Ovis aries: one gene and its partners. The protein of the gene in region 3 interacts with the protein of the main gene of each other region in a biochemical or structural test. Links are inferred from orthologs where the notes say so. Each region holds a gene or a part of one and is shown on either strand. Other genes may lie near its edges. The genes, in order: BAG1, BAD and RAF1.

Evidence for each region.
Region 1: the proteins of RAF1 (region 3) and BAG1 form a complex in vitro, tested with the Homo sapiens proteins (2 studies listed by BioGRID). The link is inferred for Ovis aries from reciprocal best matches to the Homo sapiens genes RAF1 and BAG1.
Region 2: of the proteins of RAF1 (region 3) and BAD, one has a biochemical effect on the other in vitro, tested with the Homo sapiens proteins (2 studies listed by BioGRID). The link is inferred for Ovis aries from reciprocal best matches to the Homo sapiens genes RAF1 and BAD.

Annotation. Positions count from the first base shown.
Region 1 is NC_056055.1:37,888,747-37,892,286, forward strand, and holds part of BAG1 (BAG family molecular chaperone regulator 1), read left to right. Parts: intron 1-1,088; coding exon 1,089-1,171; intron 1,172-2,689; coding exon 2,690-2,803; intron 2,804-3,540. UniProt on the Homo sapiens protein: Co-chaperone for HSP70 and HSC70 chaperone proteins. Acts as a nucleotide-exchange factor (NEF) promoting the release of ADP from the HSP70 and HSC70 proteins thereby triggering client/substrate protein release.
Region 2 is NC_056074.1:39,034,104-39,038,308, reverse strand, and holds the start of BAD (bcl2-associated agonist of cell death), read left to right. Parts: upstream 1-1,405; 5' UTR 1,406-1,833; exon of another isoform or gene 1,834-2,471; 5' UTR 2,472-2,479; coding exon 2,480-2,666; exon of another isoform or gene 2,667-4,205. Other genes in the region: integral membrane protein GPR137, read right to left, coding at 44-400. UniProt on the Homo sapiens protein: Promotes cell death. Successfully competes for the binding to Bcl-X(L), Bcl-2 and Bcl-W, thereby affecting the level of heterodimerization of these proteins with BAX. Can reverse the death repressor activity of Bcl-X(L), but not that of Bcl-2.
Region 3 is NC_056072.1:56,409,724-56,413,854, forward strand, and holds the start of RAF1 (RAF proto-oncogene serine/threonine-protein kinase), read left to right. Parts: upstream 1-1,310; 5' UTR 1,311-1,613; intron 1,614-1,779; exon of another isoform or gene 1,780-2,032; intron 2,033-4,131. UniProt on the Homo sapiens protein: Serine/threonine-protein kinase that acts as a regulatory link between the membrane-associated Ras GTPases and the MAPK/ERK cascade, and this critical regulatory link functions as a switch determining cell fate decisions including proliferation, differentiation, apoptosis, survival and oncogenic transformation.

The DNA of each region.
Region 1 (3,540 bases), on a different chromosome or scaffold from region 3:
TTGAAGTCGTATGAGGGTGGTGGAAGCCTCACCATTTTTGATGAGGCACATGGGCAGTCTTCCCTGGCTAAGTTAGATCCTCTTCCCAGTGTGTGTTCTTGTGGCACTCCCTCCAGTTCTGCACAGCTTGTATTGAAACTACTATTAAATAATTGTTTGCATAGTCACCAAACATCCGGTTTCTCTGGTACAATACATGAGGGCAGAGATACTTCTTTGTTTTCAGTGCTTGGCCTAGTTCTGACACAGAGAAGGTACTGAACAGACTAGTTTAAAGGACCTGGATGTAGCAGGCCCAGTGGAATATGGTGATTTCTGCCAGGACACACCTACTCCCATCCCCATTCTCTGGTCTTCTCATTCCCATGAGAACCCATTATTTTGTATCTGATGAAGCTAAATTCATCCCATTTGGTGCCAATCATAAAGAATTTAGTGATGGGAAGCATTTACTTTTATACTTCATATTGTAACTCCTTTTCTTTTCTTTTTAAAAGCATTTCATTTTACAATTATAAAGGCAATAGAAATTCATGTTTCTAAATAGAGGAAAACAAAAAAGAAAATGTTCTCTTGGATAAAACCCCTCATAACAATTCAGTATATTTCTGTCCAGCCTTTGTTTGTTTGTCCTGGCATCCTGAAATGTGGGTTCTCATTTGTGGCTTTTTTTTTGTTTGTTTCTGTAGTGGATAAAACTGGATCATTTCTTGTGATCTTCTTATAACACTCGGTCATCAGCACGTATTGTGGCATTGGAGTTGCCTGAAAAATGAGCTTTAGTGCCTACAAAGTCTTCCATTGTTATGATGTATAGTAATCAGTCCCCTATTCCTGAGTTTTTGACTTTCCAGTTTCTCACTGTTATGAATAATAATAATTGTGTAATAGTTATTGTTCAGGCACATGTCCAGTTATTTGTTAGGATCAATATCTGAAGTGAAGTTATTGGGTCAAGAAACCTTCTAAAAATGTTACACCAACTCATCCTCTTCTCAATAGTGAACATACTATTTCCTATACCCTTGCTGAAGTCTATTTTCACTGTTGTACAAGTTACATTTGACATAACTGTCTTCTTTTTTCAGGAAAATCTCTGAAGGAAATGGAGATGCCATTGTCAGCACTTGGAATACAAAATGGTTGCCGGGTTATGTTAATTGGGAAAAAGGTAGATTGTGTTTTCTACCAGAAATACCTCAGAGCCAAATGACTGAGGTGTTATACATGAGTGTCTGTTTAGAAGGCCAAACTGGGGGCTCAAATTTGGCACTGGTGAAGTAGTGCTTGCCACGCAAATGTAGTTACTGTTTGTTTAGTGGAGTTACCAGTTTTATTGTTCTCATTTCCTTCAGCTTCTGTTCTTTAGGGTTTTCACCCTGGGAATTAGGAGTGGTTGTATTGCCTCAATTATGTGGGTTTTGTGCTGGTGGTGGAATTTCAGTCTGGATAAAATGGTGTCTGAAGCAGTCGCTGCTCACTTGGAGAGGAATTTGCAAGAGACTGTCAAACCTGTAAATTTTAAAAATAAGTACTTTGCAAATTTCAGGAGCCTCTCTTCCTTTAACCATTCTTTTTGCTAAAATCTCCCGTGAGGTTAAATCCTCTTTGGCTGGAAAGAAAGGTTCAGACTAGAAGTGAGGGAGAAAAAGAGTCAGTTGATGACAAAAAGGGTTGAGGACAGTAGACCCTGGGGCCAGCAATACATTGTGACACAGTGGAGTTGTTGGTCAAATGAAGTTCTCTTACTTCAAGCTGGGTGTGGCTGATTCAAGAGTGGAGAGAGGGCAGAGGTTAGTAATGTGGAGGCAAGGAAAGTAGTGCAGACTTGGAACTGCCAGGAGACTGGCACTTAGGATTTGGTCACCAAGGGGAGACAGTGGGAACAATGGGAGACAGTGTAAAAGCAGAAAGCTGCTAGCTACCAATGAAGTTGAAAGAAAGGGAAATAGTCTAGATTTCTTGCTCAAGGGTCAGGAAGAACGGTGATGGAAAAAGGAGCACAACCCAAGGGTTGAGTTTGAAGAAACTTTAGGACCCTCAGCTGGAGTTGTCCTGGGGTGTGAGAAGCCAAATCCCATTCAGGTCTCAGCTTTACCTCTTTGGGCTGTGTGACCTTAGGTTACTTTACAGTTACCTCAGTTTCATCATTGGATTGTGGTAAGGCTTAAATAATAATGCAGGTAGAGTGCTTAGGATGATGCCCGGCATAAAGGGGATGCTCAATGAAAGTATGCATCGTCATCATGGTCATACTGAATGAGAGAGCTCAGGAATTCCATTTAAGGAAAGGATAAAATTCCGCCTGTCTCACCTTTCTGGACTCCTCACATGCTAGGCGTTCACTATAACTAGTTAACACTCTGGGCTTCAGTCTGGAGGCAGTTGGTGATCAGCCCCAGCCTAAGGTCAGATATGGCTCATGGATCAGCTTTGTTCTCTGAACCCAAGCCGTCAGGCTGTCTCACCAGAACATGTACCTGGTACCTTCTATCTCATCTAGTGTCTTTGCAGATAGAAAACGTTAGTGTATAATCCTCCAGCTTGCTTTCCAAGAAGCAGCAAGTTTAAGATGATGTTTTCCTAGGGGAGTGGTTTGGCTACTTATGGTCAGATTTTTTTTTTTTTTTCCTGACAGAAGCTACTATTTTTGGTGATTATTCACTTATTTTTATTCTTAACATTTTAGAACAGTCCAGAGGAAGAAGCTGAACTAAAGAAGCTGAAAGATTTGGAGAAATCTGTGGAGAAGATAGCTAACCAGCTGGAAGAACTGAATAAAGACCTTGCTGGAATCCAGCAGGTAACTCTCCTGGTAGACTTGACTTTCTGCCTTCTGTAAGAATTCTCTAGAGACACAAATGTGTGGTTTTGAGGGCAAACTTTGTCTTCAGCCCCCGCTGGGTTCAGACCCTGACTTCCCATTCTGTAACTGGGCAAGTTTGCCTTTGTCTCAAATTCTTCTGTAAAAAAGGGAGTGATGATGGTAACTCCCTCTTGGGCTGCTGTGAGGATTCAGTTACATAGTTTAAGGCTGACACATTCTAAGTGCTTTGTAAGCACATCATTGTTATTTACAGACCCCAGCCAGCATCCATTTGTGTTCCTGTGAGAACACCTGCCATGCTAGGATAATGTGTTGTCTTAAATAGAATAAATAGCTGCTCTCAGTCTAGTCAGTTATAATGTATTTGGCAAGGCAAAGAACACTGATTGATAGAATGTCCAAGTTGAGCATGATATTGGCAAGGGGTCAACCTATTCAATTCCTTATAGTACTGAAACCAAATTAGAATCACTTATGGCCTCAAACCATGTATTTATTTTTGATCTCTTCATTTTATAACATTAATGGATATATGATTGTGTTTTAATTACTAAAGTACTGCATACTGATTGTACACAATTTTTAAGAAGATGTGTGGGCACCAATATGAAAAATAATAATTACCTTTAAGACCTCCAACTCAAAGATGACCATTACTAAAACCTGGAATCTGTTTTTTTTAATCTTAAAAAAATTGGTATAATGTTAGGTAT
Region 2 (4,205 bases), on a different chromosome or scaffold from region 3:
CTTGCTACCCCATGGGCCCACCCTCACCCATCACCATGGTTACCTGAGCAAAGTAGAGGTTCATGAGCGTCAGTGTGAAGAACTGCAGGCAGACAGGACAGCAGTAGAGAAGCCAGAAGGGCAGGGGCCCCAGGTGGTTGGCTCGGGGTGTGTCTCGAAAGTAGAAGGAGAAGAGGGTGGTACGCAGGGCAGCCCAGAGCAGACAGAGCGCCAGGAACACCGTCTGATAGCTGAGACGCTTGTGCCCATACAGGAGCACCAGCCAGAGCTGGGCATAGACGGAGAAGAAGAGCAGGGCATACAGGGTGGTGTAGGCTGCAGTCAGCCCCAGGGTCACGGCGGGCGGCAGCGCAGGTACCAGCCCAGCAGCAGGCACCAAGCCAGACAGGTTACTCTCCATGTCAGGGAGGGAGGCCTGAACCTGAAGACAGAGATGGAGGGGCCGGCAGGGGGCCAAGGAAATAAATACGGAGGGGTGGGAGTTGTAGGGTGCTCAGGCGGAAAGAAGTGGTGGTTGGCCGGGCCCTCCCGCCCTCGACAGAGGGCCCCTTGCCTTTGCGGGGCACAGGCAACCTGGGTCCCTCACTACGGGGTGTGGAAAAGACAGCTCTTCCTCTTCAGGGCACAGGCGGGTGGGGAAGTGGGGGGATGGGGGTGAAGAAGCCGAAGGAGTGGGGGTCCCTGGCCTCGGTCGCTGAAGTCGTCCCGGCAGGAGGGGGAGAGCCGGCCAACGCCAGTCTGTTCAGAGCAGCGGCCGCTGCTGGGGACGCTCAACGTCTGGCTCTCCCCCTCCCCAAACTGGAGGGCTCTCTCCCCTCCAACAATCCGGATGGGGAGGGCCTCTGCCTTCCGTCCTTGGATTCCGGACGCTGGCCCACCCCACCCCCCACTGCGTCCACTCTCCAACTGCGGGGGGGCGGGAGGAGGCCGACGCCCGGTCCTCAGGCCGCGGCTAGGGGAGCCGGCTCCGGTCGCTGGGACCCGGGGCTCCGGCTCCCCGGCTCCCGCTGCTCCGCCCCCTCCTGCGCCTGCGCGGCCGCCGTTCGCTACGCAAATTGCTCAGGGTCCAGTCCTGACTACGCAGGCCCGCGCCGCGCCCGGCGCGGAGCTGTTCGAGAATTGGCGCAACTTGCGCCACCGCCGGGTGCCAAGGGTTATAAGAGGCGGCGAGCGGCCTTGACTTTCCGGCTGCGCAGCATCCGGCCGGCGCCCTGGTGGGCATTGCCCAGAGCTACAGGCCCTCGCTTCCATGGGAAGCTGGCGATTCCCAGGCTTCTCTTCCCCATCCCCAAATCGAGATTGTGCCGCCCGACCTGGGGCGGTAACGACTTCCCTTCACTCGGTCTCTGAGGGAAACTTCCGCCCTCAGCCAAGATGGCCTCCGGGCCCCGCCCCCCGGGCCTTTACCCGCGGGGGCCCCCAGCGTCCCGCGCAAGCCCGCCCGCCCATTCTTTGGCTGGCTGCGTTTCCCGCTCACCTGGCCTGCCGCCTGCCAGGCGCGAGGTCTCCGCAAGTCCTATTGTCACCCTCCTAGGGGCCCCTTTCCCTTCTGCGCCGGGACAGTCATCCTGCCCCGGGTGGAGGCTCCCTCGCTTATCTCTAGTGCCCCCGAGTTGGTGCGGGGAGTGGCGCCCCTGACGCGGGCGGTGCGAGGTTTCCACCGCGAGGAGGAGGGAGGGGCGCTTCCCGAGCCGGTCACCCGGTTCGGATGGAGCAGTGACAACAGCAACAACAGTTGCCTCCGACGGCTGAACTTCGATTACGGCTTTGCAAAGTGCTTTCACCCACAGTAATCACCGCCCAGTTTACAAGGATCACTGACTCCTGAAAGAGGTGTCATTATCCCCATTTTACAGGAGTGGGAATTAAGTCCCAGAGGGGCTGAAGGATTTGTCAGCAGGAGCTGCCTTCCAAATGGGGACCCCGGAGAATCCCTCAGCGGCTCCCACAACGCCCAAGGCATAAGGAAGTCAGGAGCTGAGCATCCGGAGACGTAGAAGAGAATCAGAAGGAAGGCAGTGGGCGGGGCCCCGGGGAGTGGCCCCGCCTGCTGGCCAGCTAGTGACATCTCAAGAGCTGATTGGGCCGGGCCGGTGACAGTTTCCGTTACCCAGGCAACTAGGGCCGGGCTCTCTTTTTGCTAGAGGGACGCGGCGGGCCCGGGTCGGGGGCCTGGTTATCGGGCTTGGGGTGAGATCTGTGTGCCGTTACCGCGGGCGGGTCTGGCTGAAGCCTGGGCAGGGGCCTGAGGCTTCTCTCCAGCCCTAGAGCTCTGAGAGTTTTAGATCCTGGGTGGATAAGTCGAGCTTCTTGCCGGGCCAGACTCAACGGATAGATGTGCGCCAGGGAGGCAGGGTGGACCTGGGGTGCTGAGGTGGGAGAGGGAGCCAGGGACACCTGCGCCCCCAACCCTGCCAGCCACCCTTAGCTCCTGCTGTTCTCTAATTACTTGTCATCTTGCCCCCCTGCAGCCCAGAGCATGTTCCAGATCCCAGAGTTTGAGCAGAGTGAGCAGGAAGACTCCAGCCCTGCAGATAGGGGCCTGGGCCCCAGCCCCACAGGGGACAGGCCCCCAGGTCTCAGCAAGCACTGGCTAACAGCCCCGGGCCTCCTGGGGGAAGCTGGTCACCAGCAGGGGCAGCCGGCCGGCAGCAGCCACCATGGAGGTAGGCAACCCCCACCCCCCACCCAACAACCACCTGCCTGTCCAGCTTGCCTCCAGCCCAGTAGTTCTCTGCACCCCAGCCACATCCACATTCTGGGGGGCTTTGAGTAAGTCCCTCACCGCTCTGCACCTCAGTTTCCTCTTCTGTAAAACAGCAATTCATCACCACCCTGGTAGTGCTGTGGGAAAGATTAACAAGCATACCTTAGAAGCACTTAATTATAGAGCTGGTGTTTAGTAAATGCTCCAAGTATGTAGCTCTTAGCTTAGGACCAGGAGAGAATCACTGAGAGGCCAGAAAGGGGAAATGACTTGCCTAAGGTCACACTCACTTGGCATTTCCTTTGGGCTAGAAGATTCTGTGGTGCCTTACCTCAGGCTAGTGCTTTCCTTAAGATCTGGATCCAGTTCCCAGCTCTGTTCTTTCCCGCCCTGTGGCTCACACCCACACAGGGCTGTCCTTAACATTGCCAGGGCCAGGTAATCCCAAGAGGCAGATGGCCCTACCAGGCAGCAGGTCTGTGTGGGACTGGGAAAGCATCAGCTGTCCTCTGTATCTACTGAGGGAGACCCAGCGGAGATGGAAGGATGGGCCCTGGAGGGCAGCGGCCACGTCTTAGTAGTCCCTACCACCTGGGTGCCCAGTACAAGCCTTGGCACCTGGAACAACCACAGACATCTTCTGAAAACAAAACTCATGTCCCTTAACTGCTGCCAGTGTGACACCCTTCCATTTTCAGGAGCAGGAAGGCTTATTAATGCCCCCACCCCAGGGAGTTCCCTGGTGGTCCAGTGGTTAACGCTCAGTGCTTTCACTACCAAGGACCCCGGGGTTCAATGCCTGGTCAGGGAATTAGGATTACAGTTAAGAAAGAAAGAAAAAAGGTTGATATTCAGTTATTAGGGATACAATCTCTAAAAAAAAACAAAATTAAAAGAAAAAAGACCCCACCCCCACCACCCAGCCTGCTGTATGTCACACTGAACTCCACAGGCTTTAACTTCGAGATTTTTGCACTTGGAGTTCTTCTGCTTGAAACTTGCTTTCCACCCTGTATCTGGCTGTCCCCATCTTCTGTGTCAAGTGCTGAATGTGTGTACCAGCTGCCAGGGGTTCATCAGGGACTAGAAGAGAAGCTCTTGCCCTTGTGGTTGCCTACATTCTGGAAGATAGGGGGAGACAAGTCATAAACAAAGAAACAAACAAACTAGTCAGTGATACGGTACCTTAGCAGGTGATGCCTTAGGTGACATACCCTTGACTTTCTCTTTGGAATCCAGAGTGCTTGGGGGCTCGAGGGAGTGATTTGAACTGAGGTGGTCAGGGTGGGCCTTGGTGGTGGTGGTTTAGTTGCTAAGGCATGTCTGACTCTTGCGACACCATGGACTGTAGCCCTCCAGGCTCCTCTGTCCATGGATTTCCCAGGCAAGAATACTGGAGTGGATTGCCATTTCCTTCTCCAGGGGATCTTTCTGACCCAGGGATCGAACTCACGTCTCCTGCACTGCAGGTGATTCTTTACCAGCTGAGCTACTAGGG
Region 3 (4,131 bases):
CAGCAGTTAAGGCACATGAGCTTAGCTGCTCCTCGGCATGTGGGATCTTCCCGGATCAGGAATGGAACCCCTGTCTCTTGTATTGGCAGGTGGATTCTTTTCCACTGAGCCACCGAGGAAGCCGAGTCCTACACATAGTGTTGCTTCATCTTCATTTCCCTTTATACTGTACATAGGACTGACTATATTTTCTTTGGCTTTCTCTTTACAAGACAGAGCTTTTGATTATTGCTGACTTCCCAATACGGAGAATAACATCAGGCTTTCAATAAAAATTTAAATTAAAAAATGTACATGGTGTTGGGTAGCATTGTGTGCCCCTGTGAGAATGAACAGTCATTCTGTACATGTTCTACTTTTTAAAATGTAATGTCTTCGATGAAAAAAAAAAATCAGTATATAGAACTAGCTGATTCTTTTTAACAAATGGATATCATGGACTGTGGAGATAGCACCCTTTATTTGAGCAGTTTCCTTTTTAACTAAGTAACATTTTTTTCCAGTGTCATCTCTAAGGCAAACAGCATGGCAATGAACATTTTAGCGAGTGCCTTTTTGTGCTCTAGAATTAGTGTCCAGAGCGGACCTGCTGGGGCGATGGGTATATGCATTAAAATATCCATTTGTTGTTGCTGTTTAGTAGCTACACTGTGTCTCTTTTGCAACTCTATGGACTGTAGCCGCCAGGCTCCTCTGTCCATGGGGTTTCCCAAGCAAGAATACTGGAGTGGGTAGCCGTTCCCTTCTTCAGCGGTCTTTCAGACTCAGGGATCCAACCTGGGTCTCCTGCAGGCAGACTCTTTCCCGTCTGAGCCAGCAAGGAACTGAGACTCAGAAGTTTACTGACTTTCCCACATGATGGGTAAACGACAGAGTCGCGATGTGTCTCCTGATGCGTCGGACTCCAGGGAGAACACGCCAAAGCTGGACACTGTTCTCTACACTGAGTCCTCGGGCTCATTTGGTTATCTCTGGACCTTGAGATATCACCAGGCTGGCCTTCTTCTCCCTTTTAAGTCTCAGACTCCTTCGGGGCAGCTAAACTCTGACCCTCCTCGACCGCCACTCCGTTGGCCGATCAGCACCCGCCCTAGAGCCTTTACGGCTCGGAAATGGCGATCAGCGCGATCTCTAGGCCACGCCCACTGGGAGGTGGGACCAGAGTTCAGGCCAGAGCGATGGATGCCCGAGCCAAGTTTGAAGTCGGCTCCTAGGCGGGCTCGCGCAGAAGCAGAGCTGGTGGCGGCGCAGGTCGGGAGGAGGAGCACCGAATGTAGGGCTCGCCTGCCGGGGCCGCCCGAGAGTCTCTCAAGTGCGGGCGCTGGGGCCGCCATCTTAGATGGCGGGATTAAGGCGAGAACGAGAGTGAGACGGGAAGGCTTTCCTGCCGCTCTTGGGCCCCGGAGAGGGACAGGTGGCCGGGCTTTGGGGTGTGTGCCCTGAGGCCGCGGAGCGCGAGTGGGACAATGCGAGAGCTGCCCGGGGCCCCGTCCCCTGGGCTGGGGACGCGCCGAATGTGATCGCCTCCCGCTCCCTCACCCGCCGCGGGGAGGAGGAGCGGACCAGACGCCGCCGCCGGACGACTGGACGCGGAGGCGGCCGGGCTCCCTCAGGTAGGCTGCAGGGCCGGGCCGTGGGAGCGGGGCGGCGGGGCTGAGTGGGCCGGGTTCCCGGGCGGCCCGGCTAGGGCGTCGCTGACGGAACGGCCCCGCGGCGGTCGGGCGGAGGGCCGGGCCAGGCCGCTGTCACCCCGGGTGGCGCTGGGCGGGCGGGGGCCCCGGGGCTCGGTGTCATGGCCGGCGAGCCGAGTCCCCACATTCCCCACTCAGGATTTCCTTGTGTTTCGGGGAGACGTGCGGGCGCCACCCGAGTTCCCGCTGCACAGTCCTTGTGTTTCGGCCACGGGAAAATCCGCCCAGAGACGCCTCGAATCCGTGTTGTCACTGAGGTGGACCACCGTCGTTTCTTTCTGGCCGCAGAGTGGGGGGACCCGGGCTTGCATCTTCTCTCAAGTGACACCCTTTTCGGGAAGGTGAGAGCGGTCGGGGACAAGAGGAGGAAGTAGGTCGGTGTCCCACCACAAAGGACGGGATCGGGGCCTCCCCTTGGGGCTCAGGACTCTGCGCGTTACTGATGATACCGTTGGGATGCTTATACTGACGGTCGGCCCCAGGATGCTTGGGAATAAAGATCCAGGGCTCCTTTGTGTGAAGTGAGAGCCGCCTGGACGCTTCGGCTGTGCAGCTGCAGAGGCTCTGCAGAGCTAGTCGATGCCCCGAGAGAGGCGTTTGGACGTGAGGAGAGGCGAGGCGGCTGTGTTCATTCATTGTTCTCTCTCAGGGGGCCAGGGTGTGCCCCTTTCTCTGGTGGGAGGAAGGTTAGGGTCTGCTGTGCCTCCTCTAGGTGTGACGGGGTTCTGAAAAGTCGTAAGGAGGGAATGGATTCAGCCCGCGTTCATTATTTCTGCCTGCTTCGTCCGCTCGGGTCTGAGTGGAGGTAGGCGGCCCCTCTGTTCGCTCCCAAATGTGAAAACAAGACGCTGTGATTAGGATGGGTTTACCCAGGGTCGTGCTAGTTTGGTACGACTCATTTTGCTTGGGGGAGTTGAGGGAGCATGTAGACTGGAGGGGGATTTTCGTGCTGAGCAAATGCTCTTCAGGTGGGGAGGGCGGAGCAGGCTAAGCTGAGGAAACAGCTGGTACAGAGGCCCCGAGATGTGCAGGAGTTGGAATGAATTTGGGGAGCAGCAAGCCGTCTGGGGTGCAGGAAGGAAGTGGTGAGAGATGAGGGTCTGAAACAAAGGTTGCCTAGCTTGCGAAGGATCTTTCTTTGTTGAAGATCGTGAGCTAGTTGGTTTAATTGGAGTTATTTTAGACGAATGTTGCTAATTTTCTTGCTGATAATCGATTTTCCCCCTTCTCTTGATGATGTTAAAGCTGTTAGTAATTGCACAGATTTACTTTGTTAAGCTCCGTCAAGAACATTTTGATAAATGCTTTACGTCAAATATTTTGCTCTTGCACTGTGGTGAATGAACAGAATTCATATTTCTCGGGATTCTTGCAAAAGGTTCTTCTGAAGTTGTGCTTGGTCACAAAAGTGTTGTCTTTATAAATGTAAGGCAGTCTACTATAACCGCATTTTAAATGGTTGTTGACAACATAAATTGTGCTCCCCAGTTGCTTAGAAATTGGCAGATTATATGAAACAATCTGAAAAATTGTAGAATGCAACTATTTCTAGTTTAGTAGATGTTTTATATAGTAAACTGTTCGGATTGATTCTGTGGATTCCAGTTCTGTTTTAAAGTCTTTAGCTCTATGAACATAATTTTCCCCAAAGAGCTGTATTGTTGTGCTTAATGTTTGTGCTAAAGTGACTATTATGATATTAACAGACTTCATCTAGAAGTTCCTGAATCTTTTTTGGGTTGTGATGATTATATACCACTCCAGAACATTAAGATTAAAATTCTTTTGGTTTGTTTTCACCCTTATCACTTTAAGGGCTTGCTGTTTAAAATGCAACAGAAACATTTGACCCAGTTGAACACAGGATACTTGGGAAAATTAACCTGTTACTCTTTCTGTGTAAAAGCTTATTATCTTTTAGATATGCAGTGTTTGTGATTATAAGTTGTAGTGAAATTGCTTAGTTTTCTAAAATTCTTATTTAACAACAATTAAAAGATGTGTATGCCTTCAAAGGAGAAGGCTTGAGTGAAGTACAGGAGAACATATTTTATAGGTTTTGGTTTTGCAGGAGAAAACAGTGAGAAGCAGATTAAGCTGGTCACTTACGATGAAAAGTATCTAAAAGATCAAATGGAGAATGGTTAAACATTAAGTATTATATTTTAACTGCTCTGAGACTAGTTGGTTTTAGTTTAAAACAGGCCACTTGTGAAATCCAAAGTAGAAGTTTGCTCTGAGGATTAAACAGCAACTTCTTGGAAGTTAAATCTGACTTCTCCAGAAGCACTAGGTTACTTATTAAATGGAAAATATAATTAATAACTTCAAATTACTATTTCAAGTAACCTGTTTGTAGTAGGTGCATGATTCTATCACATTTTAATTCCAGATAAAGCTTTGTTAATAACCTGTTGCCTAAAAATAGAAAAATGTTACA